Saccharomyces cerevisiae S288C: one gene and its partner. The protein of the gene in region 1 purifies or fractionates together with the protein of each later gene. This does not show direct contact. Each region holds a gene or a part of one and is shown on either strand. Other genes may lie near its edges.

What was found.
Region 2: the proteins of RRG8 (region 1) and IRC19 purify together in Saccharomyces cerevisiae (affinity purification with mass spectrometry, with the first as the bait; 2 studies listed by BioGRID). This does not show direct contact.

Annotation. Positions count from the first base shown.
Region 1 is NC_001148.4:756,618-760,261, reverse strand, and holds RRG8 (Rrg8p), read right to left. Parts: upstream 1,615-3,644; coding exon 781-1,614; downstream 1-780. Other genes in the region: HOB2 (Hob2p), read right to left, coding at 1-237; RGC1 (Rgc1p), read right to left, coding at 2,134-3,644. UniProt on the Saccharomyces cerevisiae protein: Required for respiratory activity and maintenance and expression of the mitochondrial genome.
Region 2 is NC_001144.5:71,524-74,836, forward strand, and holds IRC19 (Irc19p), read left to right. Parts: upstream 1-1,885; coding exon 1,886-2,578; downstream 2,579-3,313. Other genes in the region: putative AAA family ATPase RIX7, read right to left, coding at 1-1,623; YLL032C (uncharacterized protein), read right to left, coding at 2,747-3,313. UniProt on the Saccharomyces cerevisiae protein: Involved in sporulation and maintenance of the mitochondrial DNA. Is probably involved in a pathway contributing to genomic integrity.

The DNA of each region.
Region 1 (3,644 bases):
TATTCGCAAGGTTATCTTGCCAATATATATTTGAGCAAAATCAGTTAAGATAAACGCTCGTCTTATTGACGTACCAAAAAAGTATCCAAATGAAATTTTTCGTATTGTGGAATGGCGCAGCATCAATATCCATGACATGAGAATACTAGCGATTTTCTGAATTGATATAATAAAAAGCATAAAGCCTAATAATAGTTTAGACACATCCCTTATTTGAGACCACGGTAACATAGACATTGTAGATTTTTTTTCTTGCAATAAACAGGATACTCCAGCTACTAGATATTATGGATGACAAGCCTACTCGAGAAATTGATCAGCAAAACTAAATTGAATGCTTAGCTTTTAAATGTAAGCCTTTTCGTGGGAAAAAGTGTATGATTTAGTTTTCAAAGAAGTACCTTCTATAATGGTAAATTATTGGTTGTGCTCTTGAATATAATGCATGTGTATGCCCTTGAAGTTTTTAATACAAAGCCACTAGTGCAAACAAATCAACAAATCTATTTACCCTTAATGTTCCTCTTTATCAATCATACAGCCTTGCAGATGGATGGTAAGTGATGGACTATAGAACACCTCAGAGATATTTTACGTAGATGTGCGGGATTAAGGGTTCTGAATTCTCCTGCCCGAGGCGCCCAAATTTTTCATTTTCGGATTGCAAAATGATGCCATTCGCTGACAGCCAGTTTTGTATTCATTGAATAAGAATAATGGCAAATTCAGAGAGACAATTCCAGCGATATATCCCGCTTTCCTTCCTTTTTTCTTCCGCAATCAGTTAACTGAATGAAACAATAATGTACTATAAAGGTGTTTGATGAGATCCTTGTCATTGTCGGCATCCAGGTAAATTCCATTAGTAACTGCATCTTTACTCACGATAGCTTCTAGAGTTGGCTCGTGGAGATAACCAAGGTTAAAGACAGACTGTGTAATTGGTAGCCCTTTACCATGACTAACTACTTGTATTTCAATCGGGGGTGTTTTTCTCTTGTCACAAATGAGTAAAACACGATTTATCGAAGAAGGTCCAACATTCGGTATCACTGAAAGTCTTGCTTTTATAAATGCGTGCAAGTTAGCATTGTATTCCGTTATAAATGTAGAGGAATCAACTTCTAGGCTCTTTGGAGTTGATGTTTGCAATACCGAGATTGGGAACCATGACGTCGCAGCCGCCAAGTTGTCTTGTACAATGGAGGCTGAATTCAATACGTACGAGCTTTTGTATGATTTGGAATAATCTAGTGTAGGTACCAGTTTTAGTTTATCTTTATCAGCATGCTGATCTTTGCCAGTTGATGGTACCACTTTCAATGGAATTAGTAATTCTCTACACGATTTTAATTTTGAGATTTTTTCTGCTCTCATTGGAGAAGCTAAAAGCCTACCATATAAGTTATTTTTTAAATTGAAATTTTCCAAATGGAACTGCCCCACCATTTCCTCTTCATCTTTGAAATAGAGCTTCTTGCGCTTATCCGACCATTTCTCGAAGTTTGTAATGAGCGGAGAAACATCTTTGACTCGTTGGGCACAGTTTTTATTAATGACTCTCGTTGGACAATCTATGAGTAACTTCTTATATGCCGATTTAGGTAAACCCATATTTGATTTTGAGAGGTTCCCAGGAGAATTCACAACAAAATATTATTCGAAGGCTCCTATCGTCATCATGTACCGTGGCGCATTGCCAACCTGTCTTATAGAAAGGCCGATGTCGTAAGCGGACCGGAAAACTGGAGATGAACAGGCATTGCCAATCCTACCGCCACTGTAAAAAACAAGTAAGAAAAAGATAATTATGGACGCTGGCTTTCATTTTAAAATAACATCAAGTTCAGATGATACTTCTGAAAAATACCCAATCAGGAATCTATTTTTATTTGGTAGAAGACTACTTTGTTTACTTATAAAAACATGATAACTATCTAAGAATATATGAACTGATTGCGTTTAACTTAACTTTTCCATTTTGTCTTAATCTTCTTCGTTTCCGGTAGTTAATGGGTTTGTATTTTCAGCAGGAACATGACCCAGGACTTTCTTGTTGCTTATTACACTTATCAAGGAACCAAATGACATGCTCTTCATCTGTGCAGTCTTATTGGACAGGTTTTCATAGTGTCACTTACTTGACGCGGATGTAGCAGGTACAGTATTAGTACTTCCCTCCTTGCGCGAGTGAAGAGACTTATCATTCGATACAGTAGATGTTAGTGGGACGTTTTCCGCACTATATGTCTTTTTCAAACTGCTATAAGGAGCTTCAACACCTTTAGATGTAAGCGGTTCCTTCAACGTTAGACGTGATTGTGAGGCGCCCTTCTCATTGCCGTAGATCAATCGTGAGTCATTACCTTCTTTCCTTGGACCACATTGATGGGGAATATGACAAGCTGAACTTTTGCGAGAGCCACTGCAGTTTTGAGTTCTGTTTTCCTCGAACAATGGAGACTCCATCTCAAAAGGTGAAAGATCTGACCCTCGTCTTGCTTCCGAATTGCAATTCAATGGTATTCCAAAATATCCGTTTGCATTACCATCCAATGCTAGACAACTGGGTGAAACACCTGGTAAGTTCATTAATGGCGAAGGATAAAAATCAACCCGTTGGTTGTGAATGGATGCAACACTGGAGGCACGAGACGATTTATGACTACTATCTGAATACGCGCTTGCCGGAATAATGGCTTCATCCCCATGATTACTAACAGCTATTTGAGGTACCTCTCCGGGAGCCGATGCTTTTCGCGAAGAGGATGCCATTAAGTTATCTGCTGACCGGTTGTAAAGCATACCTTCCCCAGTATAAGGTGAATAAGGCGATTTGCAAGGGGTTCTAATTGTGTAACTCATACCATTTTGTGGAGCACTGTTTTTCGTTTCTCCCACTATGGCCAGATTACCATTTTCATCAATGGCTGGTGTATTGACTTTTGACCTGTATACGGAATTCATAGCGCCTGCATTCATATTTGCGCTTTTTGGGATGTCTATATAACGAGGACGATTTGCCCTCTTCCTAGTGTTTAACGTGGTAACAGAGGAAGATGGCGTTACTTTTTCAGAAAGGTTAACAAAACTGTCTACTGGAGTGATATATGTACTGTTTTTGGACCTTTGAGAGCTCTTTCCATTATTATGGTTTCTACTTTTCAGAATCTTTTCTTCAATGAAGTTCGACCTCTCCTGAGTAGAATTGAAACTTGTAAGCGCTTTTATGTCCTGAACCCATTTCTTGAAATTTTTTGATTCCTCTGGAGTTGGTTCAAGACTTGCGGAAAATATTTTAAACGTCCATTCAACGCGCTTCTCGCAAATTGACTTCTTATTGATGTTAGCTTCTTCTTTAGCCTTTTTTTGTTCCTTGGGCACGGAAGAACTCTTTAGAAATTTCGGAACGGACACCATCGAGAGAGCTGAAGGCGTACGTTGATGTTTGCCCTTATTTGAAGCAAGCGTCTTTGTTGGACATGCCAAATCTGAGGTCGTGCTTGATTCTTTTGTACATGTGTCCTCTGGTGAATGATAACTAGCATACCCTTGTAAAACAAAAGTTGAGTCAGTACTATCCTTTAATGAGCAATCATTTAAAGACAAACTAGAGATAGGATATAGATTCGAAGAACTCAAAC
Region 2 (3,313 bases), on another chromosome or scaffold:
AACTCTTTGCAATGCGCCTACATTAGCCCAAGTAACATCAGGTACCGTAGCGAACCCTTCTCTCTTTGCTGTTGGTTGAATTGTTGGCAACGCTTTCAAAAAATCTTCGTACTTAATCGATAATAATGATAACTGCTCTCCTGATAAAGGCTCAGGATAATTACGAATAAATTGTTGGACTACGGATAAAGGCAACGGATCGATCATATTCGCAGTGTTCTTCAGGCTAGATTCATCTCCGTTTGCTGTTTCATCAATTTCCATGTTATCTTCTGAACTGTCCGTTGCCGTAGTTGGTGTGGATTTTATATTAGCATAGGTTTGGAAAATTCTTTTAATAGCGCATGTACCGGCAGCAGTAACTAAAGCCTTTAAATCAGCGCCAACAAAGCCTGGGGTTAATTTTGCCAATTTGGCAAAATCGATAGCACCATCAATTTTTAGGTTATCAGACATTTTCTTTAAAATATGTAACCTTGAGACTTCATTCGGGACATTCAGGCATATTTCTCTATCGAATCTACCTGCTCTTCTCAATGCTGCATCCAAAGAGTCAGGTCTATTCGTGGCACCTATGATAATAACAGGTTTTCCATTTGTCTTTTCCATCGTTAATTCATCCATTGAGGTCAATAATTGGGCAACTATTCTTCTCTCCATTTCTCTTTGGGCTCCTCCATCACGTTTTGGTGTAATGGCATCTATTTCATCAAAGAAAACAAGACATGGTGCCAAGCTTCTCGCTTCATCAAACAAATCCCTAATCTTTTTCTCGCTTTCCCCAGACATACCACTTACGACTGAAGGTGCAGAAATAGATATAAATGGGACTTGTAATTCTCCAGCTAACGCATTAGCAATCGACGTCTTACCGCAACCCGGTGGGCCATGCAACAGAACACCTCTAGGTGGTTCGACACCCGTGGATAAAAATATCTCTGGATGAAGAATGGGTAGACCTATTAGTTCCATAAGTTGTGCAACGACATCATCCATACCACCTAAGGATTTCAGAGACGAATTAGGTGGAGATCTATCTTCCTTGATTTTTTGACGTTTTACCTTACATGTACCTTCTTTGGATCTTTTTTTAGATTTTTTAACCTCTTCTGTCTTAGGATCATCAGTTTCTGTTATAGACTCGGAAACAGATCCAGATTTGGACCACGTGCTAGTTATGCGTTTGTTCATCTCATTTGTGTCTCGCTCAATCATCATATTTTTCTTAGCTAGTTCTTCTTCCAAGCTTGGTTTCTCTTCCTCTTCGTTGTTGTAACCTGGGTAAGAACCAAATTCTTCCAATTCTGATTCAATCACGTCTTTTAGCATGCGGTCAATTGTCTTTTGTAAGACAACTTTCTTAACTCTTTGAAGTGATAAATCTTTAGTCAAACAAAAGGTAAAAATCTCACCTGCTGTTAAATCTTTAGCGAAAAACATGGATTCAAATATATCCTCATCTTCTTCACCCTCGTTGTTCTCGCCCTCTTCTCCTTGGGATTCTTGTCTCAGAGACCTTTTTCTGTCCAAAGTTTTTTCTTCCAAGAGACGATAGATAAGATCGACGATCTTGTTATCTAGAGAACTTGTTAATGAGTTCTTTTTCGACTTTACTTTAACCATTATTCCAGCCTTCCCACCACGTAGCTATTATCGGCCCTAATGATCTTTTATTCTAACTGACTCGCAGATTAATTCACACATCGGTTGTTAATCATTGTTTGAATTTCCAAAATATGCGATGAGCTGAATGAAAAATTTTGGAACCTGTCACTATCGACGAACATCGAAGTTTGCCATGACAACCATATATGAAGAAAGCTTATGAGACTAGCTCGAGTATATCATACGTATGCATGTTAATCGCAGTTAAGCGGATAACACAATGCGTAAGCCTTCTATTACGATAACAACAGCAAAAGCTATTATAACTCCAGACTATACTCTTATTAAATCGCATTCTAAATACCAACTTCCTTCACGTTTTCAAAAGCTAGATGCAGACTCACCTGAGAGAAGTACAGTTGTTAAGCTATTTTACCGCCGATTTATGAGGCTTAAGCCTTTCATATCGAATGTGAAAATGGTTAAAGATACTTACAGGGATTATGTTCGATATAAGTTTATGAAAGAAAACTACGAACTCAAACGATACTTGGTATTCAATCCTGATGGCTTGAGGTCGAAAATCAATCTTGAGCTTCTCAGCAACACGAAATGTTGTGAAAGGATACTCCCCGTGACTGAGATGCAAAGAACCTTGGAATTTGTTCTGAAGAGCTGTTCATACTTGCCCGAAACAAAAGTTCAAAAGTGGGATATTGCAAGGGACAACACATATTGCAGGCAAATTTTAAAGAACCTTTTAACAATGCAATATGAAAAGTACAGATCGATTTTGCATAGAGGAATAGGCCATGATGAGCTTGACGTCAAATTCTCTCATTTGAAAACTACTTCTAGTCCGCTAACTAAGCTAAATAAAACCGAAAAGAAAAAGATTCCGCTTTTCAAAGTATTTAGTGATTTCGATACAACATTGATATATCTCAATGAGACATTAGGTACAAGGTTATAAAGATCATTATCGTAAAAGAGGAGCGGAGCGGAGCTTTTTAGTATGTATGGTAAAATATCAATCAAATACTGTAATAGATGCGGATATGCGCAATGACATATTTTGTGGTGTGCATATCCATTGAAAAGGTGCGTAGAACGTTACAATACTACTGAACTTTTTTCCTTCTCATTTTCTGCCATTTTGATATTTATGCCTATTATTGGTTTGAGCTTTATTAGAGTTGGCATAATTATAATCGTACTCGTATGTATATCCGTATCCATACCCATATCCGTTGTAATAAGTGTTTGGTATATATCCTTTGATGGCTTGGGCTCCTCCTACCGTCGTTATAACAGGCATTTTGTGGCGTTGTGGTGAGGCTCCTGATTGGCTGGTATTATCGATGGTCGTACGACTTTTGGCATTATTCATTGATCTGAAATTGCCATTGGTATTGCTATTACTGGTGTTACTCTTGCTGGAGGCAGACCCTAGAACAAATTTTTTAATTATTTTTTTAAATATTATTTTCGTCTTTTGTGTTTCCAAATAATTGGATAGTAATTCGATTGCTTTTGTTAGAGTATTCTCATTAGTATCCTTTTCAAAAGTAAAAGTGATAAGGTCCTTCTCAAAAGTTACAATTATGTTCATAATTTGCAAAAATGGAACAACAATTAGGTTATAAAATTCGTATTCTTTATTGGGATCTATCTCTTGATCTATTTTGAACTCGTATTCATAACCAAA